5 linked regions of the Oryzias latipes genome follow. The protein of the gene in region 4 binds, or shares a complex with, the protein of the main gene of each other region. Links are inferred from orthologs where the notes say so. Each region holds a gene or a part of one and is shown on either strand. Other genes may lie near its edges.

Region 1 (4,059 bases), on a different chromosome or scaffold from region 4:
TAGATCTGCACAATAAATCACAGAGCTATCGCCATCTTGTTATCAGCCTGTGCAGTATGCGTATCGCAGAAGACAGTGCAATAAATCATACCATAAATGTTTACACACATGCCTAAACAATCTTATGGCAGCTTGAAGTGTTTCAAATTCAAAATAGCCTGTTAAGCTTTTGACTAATTGGATGGAGCCCTTTTATGTTAGATGCTTCCCTCCTATCAGGTAAAAGATCATTTGGAGTATAAATCAAGTTATACTGACTTTTATTTTGATAAAACTGTTGCAGTGAAATGAAAAAGATGTATTAGTTGTTTCATGTTTTACTTTGGGTTCATGTATCGTAAGTCACATCGTCATCGCAATATTGATCACCAATATCGCGAGTTTTCCTGATATCGTGCAGCCTTAGTTTAATTACAGTTTGTAATTTGCCAAATATTTAAGACTGGAATGCAATCAAAGATTTGCCACTGTTAACAAAATAAGGGATTCAGGACACACCTTGTCTGGCTGAGGTAAAAAGACTGTCGCTGGATTTCTTCTGGGTCTATGTGCACTGGGAGAAGGCTGGCCATTTCATCAATAGACCAGTTAAATCTTGGAGGGGTCTACAGAAAAGACAAGATATGAGACAAAACTACACAGCAGCCTTAAGACACATTTCTCGAAGTAAAAATTGCAAAACACACTTGCAAAAACCGGTTTCAGCTTGACTGTGTAAATAATATTCAATTTTAGTATAAGTTGTGGGTAAGAAATTAAACTTACAGCTTTACAGGACTTGGATTTAAAAACAGATGGGCTTGGAACCAAGGGTTCCCGGAGATGGTGGTAATCATTTGGACTCTCAAAGGGGTTTCTTATGGAAGGCCTGCCCGGAGTCTCTGGAGTTATCTCTAGCTCGATACGGTCCCCCATCCTGGCTGAAAATTCAAATTCAAGTTATAAAGAAAATGTATTACAAAGTACACTTAAAAACATTTTAAGTGTAAACCAACATGTATTTTTTTTACTCGATCCGTTAGCTAGCTGTGATGTTAGCTTGCAAGGAAAACAACAGTTTTAAAATCAGTTCAAAAACAACATAACACCCATAATTTAATCCTTACCGACACTGACTATGTAATTGTTTTCCGCCCCTGGTACTTACATGTTTTATCTGACTTGGACTGTAAAGCGACTAAATCAAGAGAAAGTCTTCCCCTGTCGACTCCACAGTGGTATTAGGAAGAGAACAATTCAAACGTTTATTTCAATTTCGTCCACGGAGCCAGCCAACCAATAGAATCGTTACAGAAAGTTGTTGAGGACCAATAGCGACATCTGTGTCGTCATTTCCGCTGCTAGTTTGCGGACGGTGCATCAACTTTGATGCAAGCTAAATGCTAATGCGGCATTTTATCGTATGTCAGAATCCGAGTAAAGCAAATATGAGATATTTTAAACGCGGCCGTGTTGTTTAATTGAATTGTTTTCATCAACGTTTTATCAGGGTAACATATAAGCTGTTGTGTATCTGCTAGCAAGTTCTAGCTAGCTAACTAGCGTCATCGTAATGGCAAGTGCAGCTAATGCTAACCTGAACGCAGTCCGGGAGACTATGGACGGTAAATATTTTAACTTGTGTGCACATATTAGCATATTTAATAAGAATTTCAAGATTATCATTAAATCATTCTATTAATTTTAAACTTTTCGCTTTTCCTGAACAGTTCTGCTAGAGATTTCAAGACTGCTAAACACTGGTTTGGATATGGAGTCCTTGTCCATTTGTGTGAGGCTGTGTGAGCAAGGCATCAACCCTGAAGCTCTGTCTGCTGTCATCAAGGAGCTCCGAAAAGCTTCAGAGTCTCTGAAGGTAGAAGAGAAACTACCACATCTCATTACAGACCAAAACTTATGTCCGTGTTTTTTTCTTCTTTTAGTGTTATCGCGAGTTCTATAACCATTTGGAAACCATTTGTTAAGCTTGAGTGTCATTGTTTTTTTATTTTTACATTAAAGTCTGTAATGATAAACATCATATCAGTGTAAATAGTAGTGATGGGTTGATGATGCTTTAATGAGTTTGACACATCTCCCAAACTGTTGACTCTGACATAGTGTTGCTCCCTCTCTAGTGACCCCTGCAGTAATTCTGAAATCATTGCAGGTAAATAAAATAAGAACGGCATTTTTGGTGTTTTTAACATGTTCTTGTAGCACTTTTTTATGATTGATTACATATAATAGAAAATTAACATTAAAACAGCATTTTTGATTATTTCTTAATTAAGAAACCGGAGAAGTCAAATAATGCAGTTTGAAAAACTTGCAGTTGTGACATAGAAACAACAGCCATTAGGCCAAACTCCCTGCTCTGCTCTAGTCTGATGCCTCCACTGGCAGATGAATAAATTTATGTACATTTTTGTTTTCCTCGTCTGAGCTGGAATCTGGATCAAAGCTGTTCAGGTGGATGGCTCAAATATTGTTCACTATATTTGTTGCACCGCTAGTGTGAGCTTGGGGTTGTCAGGGACTCAGTTAGCGGGAGAGTGTAAACAAGGTGTCGCTCGTCCCATCATTAGAAAATAGAGCTGTGGTATTAAAGTATTTCAGTATTTTGACTTTTATTTAACACAAGTTGTTTGATTGATGCCCACATACTAGTGAATCCTTAAACTTGATTTTTTTTTCTCTTTAGAATATTTTCTACTATTTAAATTTATTAAATATTTTATCATCCTTGCCACATCAACCCAACGATACTCTAAGCTTTAAAGTGTAAACTCAAATATTTTAATTTATAATATCTTGCTTTTTTTATGTAAAAATGGCTAAACCTGCAACTAAATCTATGAATGAGAAAAGCCGAGGACTGAAAAACATTTGGCGCATACAGATGAATTAATTCTGTTACTAAACGTCCTGAAAACAGATCCTTATGGTTTGTAAATAGAAATATAGACATGAGTTTATTTTTTAAAGAAAATGTAATTAATTAAATTTTCTCTGAGCTTCAGAAAAGCTCAAATATACTTAACATAAGTCCAGCATTCAATTTGCACTTTTACAGAACTGGCTTTGTCTGGTTTTGCAAAGTGCTTTACAGCTTCTTTCCCATTCACATACACACTTGCTGCAAAACCCAATGATCCACATGCCGAAATGAAAGCTGTTAGACTTTTCATCTGGAGTACCTCGTGCGTAAACGTCAAGCCCAACAAGACACCGACATCTAGAGGGACTGGGATCAAACTGTTTTCTGTGTGATTAATAGACTGCCTTGTGTCCCACCTGAGCCACAGCCACACCATTTCAAACAATAAATCATGATGGTTTATTACTTTTTATTTTCAGGTTTCTGAGAATTGCACAACCTGAAGATGGAATCGGAGCCCATCTGTGCAGGACTTTAATAAGATCATCCCCTGTTCCTGGATCTTTACCAGCTTTCCCGCCTCAATCCCAATCATTTTGACAGTGACTCAAATGTTTTCTACTTTTTTCATTTGTTTGTTGTTGTTTAAAAGAAAATGACTTACATTTGTTGTTTTTCAAACACACAAGACACAGATCTGAGCAGCACTGTCAAGTTTAAGCCTTCTTTTGTTTTGTTTTTTCTCTAAGCAGCATGGATGTTGGGTTTGACTGTCAGAATGTTTTATATCAGAAACATGTTGGACATTATATGTTAAAATCTTTATTGATTTTTTTTTTCAATGTATATTATTGCACTATCATTTTTTTTCTTGGTCATTTATTGGCACAAATCTATTTCTGAAGGTCCTGTAAGTTTTCAATGGAATTGTGGGAAATAAAATGTTACCATCAGTGACCACAAGGGGGAGTTCTAGTCTTTGTTCTCAGTATTTATTTAATTGTTGGGATTTTAAAACAAATACCACTTTATATTATTTCTGATTAAAAAAAACTGTAATATACATTTAAAAAAATAATATTTGGCTTTAGTTTCTTTTTTGTACGTGTCATGGTCTAATTTTGGGTCAGCAGTATAACATAATAACCTTATTTGGTTGGATTTTACAACGGAAACAATCTTTCCTGTCAGACCAGGTG
Region 2 (4,034 bases), on a different chromosome or scaffold from region 4:
AATAAAGTTCTTATTAAAGTCCCACTTTGATCATCTTTTGATCTATTATCAAAGTTTTCTCTGTGGCCTTTTCATTATGAATAGACAGTTTTTAGCCCAAACCAGAAACCTGCATCATTTTCTAGTACATAGTTTCTGCAGAGCTTTAGTAGTTCATTAGAAAATCTCCTCTGAGTTGTAGGCGGGACCATTGGCACAGAGCAACCCCACCCCTCTTCCCTTCCAGGTTGTGGAGCAGGGAGCTTGATCCTCTTCCAACATACGTCACAAAAAAGCTCTTAAACTGTCAGCTCATGATTTCCATCCATCCATCCATCTTCCTCCGCTTATCTGGGACCAGGTCGCGGGGGCAACAGTCTAAGCAAAGATGCCCAGACTCCCCTCGTTCCGCCCCAATGCAGCCCAACTTGATAAAGCCAACAGGACATCATCTGCAAAGAGCAGAGAGGTAAACCAGACCCCCTCTCGCCCCTGGCTGCCCCTGGAAATTCTCTCCATTCATTTCTGGGCGGCAGTTTAGTTCAGGCGGTAGAGCAGGTCGTCCAACAACCGAAGGATTGGGGGAATCGATCCTCGCTCTCCCCAGCCAGCTGTCGAGCCTGCAGCTCACCGCTCCCCCCAGAGGATGGGTCAAAATGCGGAGAAGAATTTCCCCATTATAGGATAAATAAAGTATCAATTAAATTTCAATAAAAAACTATGAAAAGACCCAGTGACTGATTCACCTGGAGCATCTTTATTTTTGAATGCATTCCCTTGTGTTGTCCTAAAAGACACTTTTTGACAGAGTCCAACATGCACCGGAAACAAGTCTGACTTACTGCCGGTTTTGTGAACCAAGCTCTTTCTCCGGTCATATAGAGACCGGACAGCCCTCATGATTTCCATAGATTTAAATAAAAAATACTCAGAAATGCAATGATAAAATTAATTTTCTTTATATATTTCCTCCATCAACAGAACATTTCCAGAAGAACATGTTAAAAACACCAAAACCACATTTTTAAATAGAGTGGGTCCTTAAGGAAAACCACATATTCAGACAGAAAAAAAGAGGTCATGTTACTGGGAGGATTTGCTTTAAAATGACCACTTTCACCTCCTAAAGAAATGTCATTTTGTATGAATGCAGACACCTAAACTTCAGCACAACAAATACGGTGCGTTACCTCTTTATCCTCACAGAGTTTGGAAAGCAGATACACCAAAGGGTCGAGATTTCGAACATTTTTAGACTTGAGCTCCTCGTATTTCTTCAAGAAATCCTCTGGTGTTTTAGAAAACTCCGCTAATTTGACCTAAGAGACAAAAGAAGTAATATCAGACATTGCAAATTATAAACAGTAAAACCACTACGACTCCTACTGTCTACACCTTTCTGTCTTTAGCAGTTGGCTACTCTTCCTTTGTAGCCACCTTTTTAATTTTATCTTTTAACATCCTTCAAATGGAAAAAATGTGTTTTAACTAATAAATCTTAAACTTTTAATAAGGATGTCTTGATTCACTTTCTCCATTACTCGGTTCAAAGTTTTTTGGGTTCGCCATATGATTTATACATTACAAAACAACAATACTAAAATCCATTTATGATTCAGAAAAATCCTTTTTTAAATTTGTTATTAAGCAAGTAACAACGAAGGAAAATCTTTCAATTGGGTTACACTAGTCTGGTGTTATGTAATAAAAATTAATATAATATAAATTTGTCACAAATTTAACACTTTGACTGTACTGGTATGTAGTAAGGCTGCACAATTCTTTCCCCCCAACAATTTGGTTCAGTGATGGAACATATGGTTTGTTTTTAGACTGACAGTTTGGGCATCCCTAATCCAAATATCTGAAATACTGGGCTGTCTGGCATTTGGTTTAAAAAATACTTCTTGAACAGTTTTAGAGTAAATAATCATTCTGTCAATAACATTTTTTTGTTTGTTTCCCAGCAAGTGCAGGTTTGTCTATATAAACATATTTTGAGGTTGTCATTTTTTCCCTTTTAATTATAATAATCATAAATAATATGATCTATATGCCCCCCCCCCCCTTTCTGGCCATCCAAGGTCGCCTCAAAAGATGAAAAACAAATCACAAAACAGCATTCATTAGGGCTTTTTTAATGTCATAAAACGAAAACCATGATAAGATTTGCATGACTATAGACTAGCCTGTAAATAAATACAGCATAAATGACCCACCTTGGCACTGTGAGCAGACACTGTGGTGGTGACGTACGGTGTCCTGTGCTTCTGTAGAAGATCTATGTAACCTTCTGCCCCATCACCTCCACGCAGGTGCAGCAGGCTGAGCAGCTCGTTCACGTCGTGGTGGATCCGGAACTCACTCATGGCTCAGTCAGTCAGTTGTCAGGAAGGCTGGGTTACAAAAACAGAGGAGAGCATCTTAGCTTCAGCGAACACAGCATCTCAGCAGGCATCAGCTCGTTCACACCGACAAACAATCGCCTATAGATTGGCTACGGAGATACAATTACTTTATATATATAATACTTAAAGTCTCTCTGTACTCTGATGCTGAGCCAAATGTTACTAGTAAACAGGCTAACTAGCCTGCAAACTGCAAATGCTAAATAGTATGCTAGCTAATCCAAACGCAAGTGCAAAATTTGCCAATATTTGAATTTCGGTCATTTCTGAATAAACCTTATCACGGGTAAAATACAACATTTCAACTATTTCTGTACCTGCAGGAGTCGTGAAAATGAGCTCACCAACGTTCAGTGAATCATGTACCAAAGGCGCCCAATGCTGCTCAAATTCCTCTTCTTCGTTTGTTGACACTTTACAAGGACATGACGTGAGTCTGCCCCCTACAGGCTAGGTATTCAAACGTATAGATAGATAGATAGATAGATAGATAGATAGATAGATAGATAGATAGATAGATAGATAGATAGATAGATAGATAGATAGATAGATAGATAGATAGATAGATAGATAGATAGATAGATAGATAGATAGATAGATAGATAGATAGATAGATAGATAGATAGATAGATAGATAGATAGATAGATAGATAGATAGATAGATAGATAGATAGATAGATGTGTGTGTGTATATCTATGTCTAAATCTATCTATATATAGATATATATCTGTATCTATATATAGATATATATCTATATCTATCAATCTATATATATATGGTAGATCTGAGGCTCAGATCTACCACACCAGACAAGACCCAAGGTGTAGCCTGTGCAAACAGCCTATACCTGAAACAATCCAGCACATAACTGCAGGGTGTAAGATGCTGGCAGGTAAAGCATACATGGAGCGCCACAATCAAGTGGCTGGAATAATATACAGGAACATGTGTGCAGAATATGAACTGGTAACCCCAAGGTCAAAATGGGAAACACCTCCGAAGGTGGTAGAGAATGAGAGGGCAAAGATCCTGTGGGACTTCCAGATCCAGACTGATAGTGGTGGATAAAGAACAGAGGAAACCTGTTGTGGTGGATGTGGCAGTACCAAGCGATGGGAACATCAGGAAGAAGGAACATGAGAAACTGGAGAAATACCAGGGACTCAGAGAAGAACTAGAGAAAGCATGGAAAGTGAAGGTGACAGTGGTGCCTGTGGTAATTGGAGCACTCGGGGCAGTAACCCCCAAGCTGGAGGAGTGGCTACAGATACCTGGAAACATCTCAGACCTGTCAGTCCAGAAAGGGCAGTGCTAGCAGAGAAACCACCCACGGAGGGTGAGAGGGTCGTTTTTTATTTTATTTTTTTGGCTGAGGGGGTTAAAAAACCATTGAAAATTATTTTTCTTAATTTCATTGAGAAAAAGAAACATCTTTATTTGTTTAAATGAGTCTAGAACGACAAAAATATATTTATTTCATTTATTTATTAGTTTATTTAACAGGGACAGTGCACATTAAAAGCATGGCTCCAATGCGCCAGAATTAGCCCAAAGGCTATTTTTCATCTGTAGTATTTGCAGAAATACAATTGTAAAATGAAGATGAGTAAATAACCGGGAGGTAGTTACTTTATGGTGTGTGACAA
Region 3 (4,097 bases), on a different chromosome or scaffold from region 4:
CGTGGGGGGGGGGCGCGCTCACCCTGGAGGATGGTTTGCGGGGGTCTTCAGAGAGAATCAGCAGCAGGTAAAGAACCGCCCAGCGGTGCTTCAGAACACCCTGAAAGGTGGAAAACCGTCAAAATAAAAGCCCAGCATCCTTCAATCAAATGAAAGAAGATTCAATTTTGACCAAATTTAATAAAAAAAAAAATCATAGCTTATTAATTACTAACATCAATAGCTTTAAAATTAAAGTACGGCAAGAAACAAACAGAAAAATGGACAACAATCAAATAAATGTGGACTTTTAACCTTTCGTCTTCACGTATTTTGTTTTTTCCTCATTTATTCATCTAGTATTACAAACTCAGCTGAAATAGTGTCGTCAGAAGCCAGCAGGGTCGTTTTTGGAGGTTTATTCTTGTTGGCGGGTAGAAAAACGCTCACCTGAGTCTGGAGTTTTCGGTGCAGCTCTGAGAAGAGAGCAGCGTCCGCCTCCCTCCTCTGCTTCACCACTGCAGGAGCATCGACACCAACAGTTAGACGCCATCCAACGCTCCTTTCACAGCCTCAAACGTCTGATGGTTTCATGTCCACATCTATCAAAAACCCTTACGCTTGTTTCAGTTTATAGAAGTACAAATTAAAACTGAAACGTAGCTTTTTAATTAAATTCTGGTTTTTTTTGTAAAATAAAAACAAATCCGACAAACTCTTACAGTCAAAAGTTAACTATATTATAAAGCATGCACTGATAAAATGAAATAAATGTGTTAATTCAACAAAAATTGGTACTTTTAAATGAGAAAAACATACAACTTTGTAAATAAAATAAAAATTCAATTAAATAAATGTTCTTAATAAATATGTTCGTTAGAAAAAACACTAAAGACAAGTATTAAACTTTACAATAAGATTTTTTTCTTACAGAAGCATATTACTAAGTGTAAACATATACAATGTTGAAAGCAAGACGAAGGACGAAATTAATTTTTTCCCGAACTAAAACCAGGTTTGAATGCATCCCGACCGGCACCTGGAGCTGCAGACAAACACAACTAAAGAGGCTTTTCTGTTGGACTTCCTGGAACAAACTCCATCATAATTCCGTTTGGGATCAATAAAGTATACCTGGATGGATTCTGTCGTCTGCAGTAACAGAGAGGGGGGGTGCACGTTAACCTCGGTTGGAAGTCTTATTTAAATCCCATTAGTCACAGGAGACGTCCAGCCCCCGCAACCTGGAAAGTGCTATTTCAGTTTGATGATGAGCGACGAGGCTCAGATCAATGTTTTCCCGCTAGCGCTACTGCAAAGCAAGTCAATAGATATTTGCTGCCGAGAGGCAATAAAGGTTTTCAACGTTGCTGAGTCTGACGTTTATCCGCACAGGCCAGATGCTAAAGGGACCAAATTCAGAAAAGATGCAGCAGAGGAAGAAAAAAAAAAAAAGCCTCCTGAGGTCAAAGGTCACTCACGTTCCTTCTTGATCTTCTCCGACACCAGGAACTCGTCTCGCTCAAAAGTGGGAGCGTAGTTGTTGCCGATGACTCGGACGGCATACTGAAACTGGTGGGCGACTTCAGCTGCACAAAAAACAGATATTTATTAAATCAGCAAAAGAGTTTATGCTTTAAAAAACAAACAAACAAACAAAAACAATGGTTTTCATTTTAGGACACAAAAGGAAGAAATTCTGATTTTTTTCACCAAATTATGTCACTAAAAACGGTAACTGTGAATTACTGGACAATGCTGCTTTTAATTCAGTTGTTAAAGTCTCACTCTGGTCATATTTTGATCTATTTTCAAAGCCTTCCTGGTTTTTTTCTTTATTTATTTTGTTAGGATTATGACCTTAAAACTGTTTAAAAACATGTTGTTTTCCAGGACACAGTTGTTGCAGAGCAGCAGAGGCTCATTTGAAACTCGCCTCCGTGTTGTGGCTGTTGACACGTAGTAGTAAGTAAGCCCCGCCGCCCTTCCCATCATCCATCTGTTTACACGCTCTCCCGTTGGCTTGCAGCCCCTCACAACCTCGCCCTAACATTTTTTTTGCCTCGTTTCTGGGGCCTGCAGCCGGGAGTCAGTGGTTCCGCACGGGCTGCCGAAACGCTGCCCAGCTAACGGCGGTCCCGAGCCCGGCATAGCGGTTTAACGCAGCAGCTGTCAGGCGGGATGCTGCAGCATCAAGACCGCAGCCTGACATTCAGGCTAACCCGGGCCGAGCTCCCTGCGAACCACGGATTCCTTTAAGACGATTCGCTTGATCCCCTTCAAATGCTGGCAGTAAAGTTCAGCAAAAAATTCCACGCGGATCACCAAATAATTGTTGACATGTATTGCCAGAAAACCCGGTTTACGATGATCAAATTCCGTCGGCAACGCTCTGGGTTTAGCCGGCGGGAGACTTTACGATTGTATTTAGTCACTTATAAATGTCAAGCTTCAACTTCATGTGCCGAATAAATCCGTTCCCACTAACTGTTATTTTAAAGTCATTAAAATGAATAAGAAGCAAGTTAAACCGCCAATCTGACCCTCAACCTGAAAGAGTGTCGTTTTCAAAGCAGCTTCGCCAAAGTAGCGGTGTCGCGGCTATGCTAGCTCTGGCTCCCGTACCTTCGCTTTTCCCCGTGATTCTGCAGCACAGGCTCTGCAGGAGGACGTTGGGGGATTTCTGGTCCAACGTCGCCATCGTTTTCACCACAGACGGGATCAATTCGCAAATGCAGGGAAGGAATAGTTATTAACCGCAGCCTCCCACAATGAGCAACGCCATTTAGCGACTACGAGTCAAAGTAGCGGGGAGGACGGAATCTGAAGTGACCCTTTTCCTGCCCCCTTCAAAATAAGAGCCTTCAGCATAGTTATCAGAATTGCACAGAAAATAGTAAATAAAAGAAAAGATTCCAAATAAGACAGTTATTAACCTCACTAATATACTATATACTTGAATTCTAAAAGGCATATTTATAATAGGTAAAGTATGAACAGTAGAGTGTTTGGTGCATTTGCATTTAATCATGCATTTAAAATTATAGTTAAAAATAATTAAAACTACAAATGATTGTATTTTATTGTGTAGAAAATAACTATTTTGCACAATTTTTTAAATGAAATGTTTTCTTGGTTGCAGTAAGGCTATCCTTCAATGTGTGCAAAAAAAAGAGAAAGAAAATAGATTTTACGGCTAGTACGTGGTGGAAGACCTCAAAAAAATGTAGACAATAGGCCTGCACAATATATCGCAAGTTTATCGAGATCAAGCTGTGCTATATGCATATCGCAAAAGACTGCGAAAATTCCAATAAATGGTTACTTTAAATGTGCCAAAACAATCTTATGACAAAATTTGTCTCGAAAAGGTCTTGATGCGTTTTATTGTGTAGTAGTTAACAGGAAACATCCGCTTTGATTACAAAGAACTTTATTGAGACAGTTCAATTTACCCGCCGAAATGCGTCCCCGGTGTCGGACACGCCATGGAAAAAAATACTTCCCTATTGAAACAAGGGCCTTTTTTGTTTGTTCCTACCGGTTCATCGTTTCCGTTATTAGGGATTTGAAAATTTCTCACAACTGTCTTATTTTTACATTAAAAACATCATAAAAAATGCAAATAAAGTTAAAAAAAAAAACAGAAAACACGAATTAATTAGCAAATATTTTCTTTATTTATTATTTGATTATTTGTTGTAAGAAACTATCTATTACATACAATTAATGTAGAAAATTTCCACCATCACCCCAATATTCATTTGAAGTCACATTAGCAGCAACAGAGTTCCTTCCGACAAATCAGATTTAAGGATGGCGGTGCACCAAAATGTCCTTCATGGAAAAGCTGGTTTATTTTAGCCGAAATTACATTTGCTGTTTAAATGTTTGGACAGTTTCAACACTTAAGGGAAAAAAAATACAGTTTGCACATTTATTAAATAAATAAAATAATTTGTTTCTATCCAAATAATCTGAATTTATTGTGGAGTGTCCAGTATTATATTATTTTATATTATATTATAAATGTTCCTTTTTGCTTGCCATGTATTTAATGTAGATTTATTGTGAAAAACTTAATTTAAATTCATTATTATTTTTTCTATAATAAAAAA
Region 4 (4,016 bases):
AGTCGAGGTCTCTCCGTAAACTCTGTGTTTGAGGGGCATCCAGACAGGAGGAGCAGCAGAGACAGAATGCCATAATGTGCATCTGTCTAAGAGGGGAAACTACCGTCAAAATAAAAGTCCTGAAGACTTCAAGTTGTCAGTTCTTCTAACCTTTTTTGTCAAAAATATTTCAACTTTAGCAACAAAAGGCAGAGAGGATGACAAAACCTGCTGCCACATAAATCCAGTGAGCTTGTTTACGTGCACATCAAAGATCCCATCAATATCCGATTTCTTCCACTTTACCCCATATGTTATGTTGTTTCACATCTGTTCATGAGTTTACGCAAGTGCTAAAGACAGAAGAGGCTGCGTAACCAGGGCAACCGCAGCTCCTTTATACAAGTGTTTCTTTTGTTAGTTCCCATAAAAGCAAAGCAAACGCTGCAGCTCTGTGACGCTGACAGGAACAGATGCCAGAGGATTTTAAAGGTAGCAGGTTTATTATGAACATACGTAGTTCACCTAAATATACCAGATAATTGACTCCCAGGTAGACCAACATCTTCTGATGGTTGCATTTGTTTTTTGATTGATTACTGCATTTTTTTTGGACACGTAAACAAGCTCAGACCCGGACCTTTCTATCCTCTGGCCTCGTTTTATTTCCGTAGGCTCTTTCCTACCTTTGTTCCTTCTGTATTTGGCAGAGGAGAGTTCAGGAACTCTGCTGTCAGTCTCCTCCAGCTTCCTGCTTTACTCACATCAGAGTGAACCATCAGCTTTTCATAGATTCTGAAAAACCAGATTCTCCGTGTGAAATGTGCACGTTTACTCATGAAAGAGATGCTGTTTTTATGAACAGAACATGCAGCAACATCCACATATCCAATATCATTTCAAGAATAGAATTGGTGCCAAATGACATCCAGAAATTATTTATAGCTGTAGAAAATGTCCAAAGGAATAATGACATTTAAATTACTCGTTTTGTGCGTCTGTGTGTGAAACTGAAATGTGGAAAAGTCAAAGGTTTGAACAAAAACAATGCAAAAGTATTTCACATATCGTAAAAATACATACATCTATTTAGAGTTATACCATTATGTGTTGATGAAGATGATGTTTATGATTGTTCACTATAATCATAATTGCTTTATTATTATTATTATTGGAGGTTTCAACACGCTTAGCTTTTCTTTCCCAAACATGTTGTACATTGTTGTTGTTAATATTATTATCTTTAAGTTTTTAGCCTAATGCAAAGATATGGGGATGCTGGAGCCTATCCATGCAAATTCCCAGACACGCTCACACCTAGAGGACAGTTAAGAGTCGTCAATCAACAAATCGATGATGTGTTTAGACTGAAGGAGGAATCGCAGGAACCAGGAACTTGTTCCTGCGAGGTGACAGTTGTGCGGCTCCCATGAAGAACTCAAGTATATCAATGAACCCAGAGTTGCTTCAAAGACAGACTAAGACCACAAAGCAGCGCTGCAAAGCCTGAGAATATGCGTGAGGAGGTGTTACTTCCCATGCTAACATCTCAAATCTCAGGTGCTGTAAATGAAAAGACGGGAATTTTCCTGGATAAATATGAAACTGGACCAAAGAATAACATATTTAAAAAATGATTATGTAACTGGTGTGATGGATCAGGGTCCGCATTTAAAACGAGACGTTGGTTTTTGCTGTTTTCTTTTCAGGTCACTTGGAAATTTAAGGCACTTTTAGGGCAACAAACAGATTCAGAGAAACGATAAAGTTTGCAGATCAGTGAGTTTTGTTTCATGTTCACAAGAGGAACATTCCTCAATTGAAAATGAATTTACGTCATAAGAGACCATCGTTTTTCCTAATTTGCAACAATGAGATACGATTACCCTGCATGAAAATCTGTGGTGCGTTAAACAGTCTGTCATCCTGGAGCAAACACTCATTTCTGCACATCACAGTATTGTGTTGCATGGATTGTGCTGTTGCTGACTGTTGGCGTGTAAAAAAAAAAACCCCAAACATAACAGCTTTAAACCCGCTGGCCCTCATTTAAACATATTTACCGAAAAACACGCAGCTTTTGCATAATATTTGACCTCCATAACGCAAGAATGCAGTTACGGTGAGAGCTTTCCATGGGTTTGTGATGATGGCAAAACCAAAACACCTTACTATTTTTTTCTAAAACACAAAACCAGACACAAAAGACAACATTATTCACTCACCCGTTTATGCTGCGTTCAACTTTATGACTGTCAACGTCCAGAAAACTATGGAACCTTTAAAAAAAGGATGTTTTTGGTCATCAGCTTCTGATATTGTTTGCTAATATTATAGTTAGCAATGAGCTAGCTCCACCTAAACCATCAATGGTGGACTCACTTAAAATTTGACCACGTAAATTTCAGCGCACGCTGGAAATTCTGGTCCTCCTCATCCTCGATGCCGCTGATGAGCCCGATCAGCCTTTTCGTTTCTTTCTCTGTTTCTTTCTCGAAGATGCTCCAGTGCGCCATGATGATGATGTTAGCATCAGACGTTACGCTGCAGGCAGCGGGCTGTCCGGCAGGCTAGCAGCTGGACGGACCGCTTAAGACGAAACGGTGACCGATGACTACATTAAATGTTTCATATTGTAACAGGGTAGTTTAACAGGCTAAGACGTCCCGCGTAATTGTTGCCGCTGGACATGAATCGCGTGTAGTGCGCATGCGCAGGATTACCACTAATCAATATTATTTTTTTCTTTAACATATTTTCATCTCTGTGTTTTGATCCCGAACTATTATTTAAAAATGTTAACTTCTTTTTTTCTCCTTTACAAAATAAATAAATAATAATAATAATTGTTCACCTTGGTCACCATGGTTACGAGTAAAAACTTCCGGTTCAGACAATCAAGTAAACAGCATTTCTTTTTTACCGTATGGCATTGACACAAACAAACAGAAAATATAATTTTTTAACTACACATTTAAGTTTTATCATTTAAAATTAAATTCACTGATGATGCAATATCCTTGTTTTCCTTGACACGCATGTGTGTGTGTGCGTGTGTGTGTGATCAAATTCTTCAGTGACTTTAATAGCACGCACTTAACGTGTTATTTTTTAGTTTCTATTAATACATTATAATTTATCTAAAAAAGAGCTTTTACTTTGTCATTTGTTACAAAACATTTTTATATTGCACGGACGGAAAATTTGGCCTAAAACTTGTTTTTTCTCTGTTCGATGTGCTGAAAACCAGTTCAAATGCTCTGAGACACGCAATCAAATCTGGCAACCTCACTAAGCCCCGCCTCCAGTTTACGTAGCTAAAGAAATTCTTCGACAAAAAAAATAAATAAATTTGAAGATATTTTTCCGTACAAAAAAACTCAAAGCTTGTGTCATTAAGAACACACCCGTTTTACAATGTATACGTAAAAAACATGAAAAGATTCGCAAAACTTCTGGTTGAGGGGGCGTGGCTAGTTTTCCACACATTTACTAACAGACACACACTAACAGTCTCGCCTCGCATAACTTCACAGGAGCGAGTCTTCCTCGCCGGAGTCCCTTCCCAAAGACAGGATTCCAGTCGTGATTAGGGCAAAAGGAAATGAAGAGGAGGTTAAATAAGAAATTCTTGATTGTGATCGTCGCATATTCGGGTTTACTTCTGCTAATCGCGTACGTGTTAGATTATCGGGATAAATCCGGCGAGCACGCCAAGCTTCCGCAGCAACAGCCCAGATGCTCAGATTTGGAGAACACGGTGGCGCTTCTGTGGGATAACAATGGCTACAAAGTCAACGGCAGCGACGCGGCGGCGGAGGCCAGATTCAACAGGAGTCAGCCGCGGATCCACATCTACCTGCACGCCACCTGGAGGACCGGCTCGTCGTTCTTGGGGGAGTTGTTCAACCAGCACCCCGACGTGTTCTACCTGTACGAGCCGATGTGGCACATATGGCAGGCGCTGTACCCCGGGGACGCGGGCAGCCTCCAGGGCGCGGTGCGGGACATGCTGAGCTCTCTGTACCGCTGCGACT
Region 5 (4,076 bases), about 630 kb from region 4:
AGGATCAAAATCCACAGGGACGAATACATCGATCAAAAAGTGTTTTGTTTCTTACCAGAGCCAAAATTTTTCACCACTTCTCTGGCAAGATGGACTCCAGACATCAGCAGCTCCTTGGCCCGTTCAGCGCTCATGCCCAGGTGGGTTACAAAACCCTGGACGCTCGCCTGGTACGTGGCCGTGGTGATGACATCAGCCCCACTCAGGAGGAACCTGTTGCCAAAGAGAAACTCTCGTTTTAGTCATCAGCACCAGTACATAGAGAAAAATGACACAAAATTTGACTAAACTGACGTGACTATTGAAAACCTGCGCATCAACTGACCTGTGATGAGCATCTTTTATGGCCTTGGGATTCGTGTGCAAAAGTCTGGCACTCCACAGAGGATCTCCCTTTGTACACACACACACATAAATAACATAAAATTACCTTTAAATCTGCACGTAAGGAACTAACAGGTAAATACTGGTATTGACTACCATATTTGTCATGGTTAGAAAATCCCTTTCACTGTGAAACCGTTTTTTTTCCCCTCCATTCACACCATCTTCCAGTTCATCTTTCCGGGCGTTACTTAAGTACTACTTGAGTAGTAACGCATAACAAATGATGCTCCTGAGTGAAGCAGAAACCAACTTCACAGGACACAATGGCTCTATCTAGTGGTTTACTGAGTTTGTTACAAGTTGTATGCGCACGAGACCGGACCACAGTCTTTATGTGCGCTTTAATGCATTTATTGCCCAAAAACGTTCAAAGCAACCATTGGATAATATCATAACATATTTACTTTACCTGTAGTTGTGCCCCGTGTGCTTCCAGTTCAGTTGCTAAACCTCCATCCAGGATCAAAGGCCTGTTTCGGTTAATGAAGAGTCTCAACCGAGCAGATGAACCCATGGAGCAACTCTGGATTTGCGATTAATTGCAACTTAATCCAAAAGTGGGACCCTAATCTAACGACGTTGGACTAATTTGGCTAACATGTACCACATCCGTCAATGTTGTTGTTCCGGGTGCAAAAGTCAACAGTTGCGTTTAAAGACATCCGTACATTTGACCTTCTAAGGTTGTCAAAACACAAGTCAATGTTGTCAAACTGATACTTCTTTTTTCAATAAAAAATGTGTGAACAATAAAAGGTCTTCAAAAAAATATATTAAAACTACTTAACAATATTTCTTTTGAGATGTGAGCGCGCAACAGTGTTTTTTGTTTTGTTTTTTTGTTCAGAATTGTCAGAGGTGCTCAACGACGGTTTTTCATGAACGCACCTTGGCTGGTTGCTATAGATACGAATCGGAGCCCGGGATAACTGCCGTCCATTAAACAGAGCTACGACATTTAGCTTTTGTTTACTTGTTAAAATGGTAAGCGTTTATCGCCCCTCTTTATTTAAAAACGTTCCAAAACGCTTTAATGATATAAAACGTATAATTAATTTTGAACAAATTGAAGATGTTGTTGTTTGCTAAACTCCGCTTAGCAACTTTTAGCAGATCTAGGAAAGCAAGGTGCTAACTCTTCTGTGGAACTAAGTGTGTCTTGTAATTATTTCTCCTGAAATATAAATAAGTTTAATAGCACGGAACATGTTTTAATTGAATATAGATTTTAGCAAAGCGTGTCAGGTCAATCCAGGGTTTAGCAGTCGACGAATAAACACTAGTATGTGCTTTTGATTTCAAATTAAAAAGCTGTTTTTATGGAAATGTTTTCTGATTGGTCAGTTTGCATCGACATATGTTGGCTGATACAAATAATAGTAGAAATACCCCCCCTTTTTATGGTCACTTTCTGTCTTGGTGATGCTAATAATGCAGAATCCCACCAATACTGGTATGTTTAACATTCAAATCTGGCACTGGGGTCCCTGCTGTGCAATGCTAAAGGCTTAATTGTATCTCACATGGTTGAACATACATCAGAAGTTTAGTCAAACGTTTTACTGGATTCACGCCACTGCATTTTATTTCTTGCTGTTTAGAATTTGACTGACTTCTTGTCTCTTCAGGAGGATCGCTATGCTTTTCTAGCTGAATGGTTTGACCCCATCGCAGCTCTGATGAGACGCTTCCAGCTGTTCTATTACCCCAACGATGGCTCCATGGAAATGGTAAAAAAAACAATAATTATTATAATTCCACTTATTTCTGATTACTGATTTCTTTTCTGTAGCTTTTGAACACATTGAATAGTTTAAAGGTTGTGATTGCAGTCTTTGCCTCCTTCTCAAATGTATAAATCATTGAACAATCTACAAGTCTGAGTGTGTGTGTGTGTTTTTTTTTATCACTCTACAGTTCGATGTGAAAAACCAGCGGGTATTTTTAAAAAGGATCAAGTATGATGACATCCATCCACGGGATTTGTTTGTTGGGAACCGAGTGAATGTTTTCTCCCGGCAGCTAAATCTGATAGATTATGGAGATCAGTACACAAGAAACAAGCTGGGCAGCAAAAAAGAAAGGTACGATTGGTTAAGCTGCACGTAAGTCTCTTTTATCCCCTCTAGTTACTGCACATACCATTCAGATTTATGTGCAAGCTCTTGAAAAGAATGACTGGAAGAGAAGCTTTTTTCCAGACGCCTCAAAAATGTAAAGCGGTCAGTGGAAATCAGAAAACATTACTGTTTACGTAAATAGTTTTACAAACTTCATGTTTTAATAAAACACATCAAAGTTGAAGGCACCATAAAGCATCATAAATGAAAAAAAAGATAAAGATTGATTAATGTACTTTGAGTTTTTTTTTTTTTAACAAAAAATAAAATAGTGACATAAACATGATAAACAGAAAGTAATAAAGTGCTTGAAAAACGAGTTGGTAGAAGTAAAATCTTTTGAATTCCCACCCCCAATCTTACTTTATTTTATGCAGACATTTTTGCTGATAAAAGATGTAATCATTATTCACATAAGATTTTAAAAAAAATAGAAAAAGTGACCAAAATTGACTGCATCATATCAAGTCATTAGGTTTTTAAGATTTCATGCGGCTCACCCTCTTTTATGTGGAAGGTGTGTTCGAGTCACGTTCAATGAAAATTGTGTTTTTGGTGTTTGCAACTTTTTCTTTTGATATTTTTCTGATCATGGAGTCCATATAGAAAGAAAATTAGGCTGAAAATTGCTCTTCTGAGTATTTCTTTAATCAAATCGTTGTGAATCAGGAACAGAAGAAAAAATGCGGCTGGAAAAAGATCAGATTTGTGGCGTAGAAAATACTCCGGGCGGCCTTTGTGAATAGGATTGTTAAGAAAAAAGTTATATTAATATGAATGAAAATTTATTAAAATATTATTTTCATTAAAAGGCCTATATCATGCAAAATCAACTTTTTAGAGCTTTTACGTGTATTATAATGTGAATTCCTCACAAAAACAAACCCAAAGTGGTATTCTGATTAATTCACGGTTCTCTGGGTATTCCTCTAAAAACCTGCACTATGAGCACCAGCCCCTCCCAATCCACTTTGTGACGTCACAAAGTGAGGAAGAGTCTGCGCTGCCAGCACTGACCCCAGGCAAACACACACTCGCTTTCTCCGTGGAGCTAGCGGTGATCGGCTTAACGCTTTCCTTTTAATTTGCCCAAAATGCACATCCATCTTTGCAAAAGTTCGGATGTCGTTTTTTTCTTTGTGTGCGTGAAACACAGACACGCCGCCGAGGCCGACTCTAGAATGACATCATGAAATGGACGGCACCTTCAAGGAGGGAAAGGCGGAGCCTCAGAGATCAAGTCGTCTTACTTCCGGGCAGAAAAAAATTGCTGTGATAATAACAAATATTTCCTAAAAAGGATTCAAGGATTCAAGAAGTTTTTATTGCCATATTCTGTGTAGCTACACAGAGTAGGAATTTGTTTCGGTGCAAATGTGCAACATAAAACAGAAGAACAGTAAGCAACAACATTTTTACAAATGGACAGAACAAAAATATAAATAGAGTCAGTAGTGCAAGGGGTGTCAAAACAGTGCAAACTGAGAATGTTCAAGGTGCAGGTAGTGGGCTGGTGACTGATTGGACATTGAAGTGAAATTTAGGGGGGGGGGGGGGGGGTTACAGGGC

Evidence for each region.
Region 1: the proteins of tubgcp5 (region 4) and mzt1 are in contact, whole or in part, in a crystal structure (PDB 6L81), measured with the Homo sapiens proteins. The link is inferred for Oryzias latipes from reciprocal best matches to the Homo sapiens genes TUBGCP5 and MZT1. Residues at the interface, in NP_443135.3 of Homo sapiens: Gln14, Gln15, Asp18, Val19, Glu21, Leu22, Val23, Val26, Ala27, Gly28, Asn36, Ala40, Phe43, Ala44, Asn47, Phe48, Arg52, Phe53, Leu54, Phe72, Lys80, Ser83, Trp84, Leu87, Thr88, Glu90, Phe91, Ala106, Ser109, Ile110; in NP_001065243.1 of Homo sapiens: Glu23, Val27, Leu28, Glu30, Ile31, Ser32, Ile34, Leu35, Asn36, Thr37, Leu39, Leu44, Ile46, Cys47, Val48, Arg49, Leu50, Cys51, Glu52, Gln53, Ile55, Asn56, Pro57, Glu58, Ala59, Leu60, Ser61, Ser62, Val63, Ile64.
Region 2: tubgcp5 (region 4) and tubgcp2 share a complex: the UniProt entries of both Homo sapiens proteins name them as parts of the gamma-tubulin ring complex. The link is inferred for Oryzias latipes from reciprocal best matches to the Homo sapiens genes TUBGCP5 and TUBGCP2.
Region 3: tubgcp5 (region 4) and tubgcp3 share a complex: the UniProt entries of both Homo sapiens proteins name them as parts of the gamma-tubulin ring complex. The link is inferred for Oryzias latipes from reciprocal best matches to the Homo sapiens genes TUBGCP5 and TUBGCP3.
Region 5: tubgcp5 (region 4) and nme7 share a complex: the UniProt entries of both Homo sapiens proteins name them as parts of the gamma-tubulin ring complex. The link is inferred for Oryzias latipes from reciprocal best matches to the Homo sapiens genes TUBGCP5 and NME7.

Annotation. Positions count from the first base shown.
Region 1 is NC_019873.2:18,606,387-18,610,445, reverse strand, and holds mzt1 (mitotic-spindle organizing protein 1), read left to right. Parts: upstream 1-1,251; 5' UTR 1,252-1,552; coding exon 1,553-1,604; intron 1,605-1,709; coding exon 1,710-1,855; intron 1,856-3,339; coding exon 3,340-3,363; 3' UTR 3,364-3,823; downstream 3,824-4,059. Other genes in the region: bora (protein aurora borealis), read right to left, coding at 499-605, 766-915. UniProt on the Homo sapiens protein: Required for the recruitment and the assembly of the gamma-tubulin ring complex (gTuRC) at the centrosome.
Region 2 is NC_019877.2:19,478,055-19,482,088, reverse strand, and holds the start of tubgcp2 (gamma-tubulin complex component 2), read right to left. Parts: upstream 2,809-4,034; 5' UTR 2,705-2,808; intron 2,376-2,704; 5' UTR 2,349-2,375; coding exon 2,199-2,348; intron 1,299-2,198; coding exon 1,170-1,298; intron 1-1,169. UniProt on the Homo sapiens protein: Component of the gamma-tubulin ring complex (gTuRC) which mediates microtubule nucleation.
Region 3 is NC_019860.2:22,843,994-22,848,090, forward strand, and holds the start of tubgcp3 (gamma-tubulin complex component 3), read right to left. Parts: upstream 2,809-4,097; 5' UTR 2,681-2,808; coding exon 2,605-2,680; intron 1,569-2,604; coding exon 1,461-1,568; intron 498-1,460; coding exon 430-497; intron 101-429; coding exon 23-100; intron 1-22. UniProt on the Homo sapiens protein: Component of the gamma-tubulin ring complex (gTuRC) which mediates microtubule nucleation.
Region 4 is NC_019862.2:28,172,181-28,176,196, forward strand, and holds the start of tubgcp5 (gamma-tubulin complex component 5), read right to left. Parts: upstream 2,802-4,016; 5' UTR 2,496-2,801; coding exon 2,362-2,495; intron 2,259-2,361; coding exon 2,205-2,258; intron 775-2,204; coding exon 666-774; intron 87-665; coding exon 1-86. Other genes in the region: chst7 (carbohydrate sulfotransferase 7), read left to right, coding at 3,584-4,016. UniProt on the Homo sapiens protein: Component of the gamma-tubulin ring complex (gTuRC) which mediates microtubule nucleation.
Region 5 is NC_019862.2:27,541,833-27,545,908, reverse strand, and holds the start of nme7 (nucleoside diphosphate kinase 7), read left to right. Parts: upstream 1-1,268; 5' UTR 1,269-1,368; coding exon 1,369-1,371; intron 1,372-2,015; coding exon 2,016-2,117; intron 2,118-2,304; coding exon 2,305-2,471; intron 2,472-4,076. Other genes in the region: uncharacterized protein LOC101164391, read right to left, coding at 56-213, 326-393, 797-901. UniProt on the Homo sapiens protein: Possesses an intrinsic kinase activity. Displays 3'-5' exonuclease activity with a preference for single-stranded DNA. Does not seem to have nucleoside diphosphate kinase activity.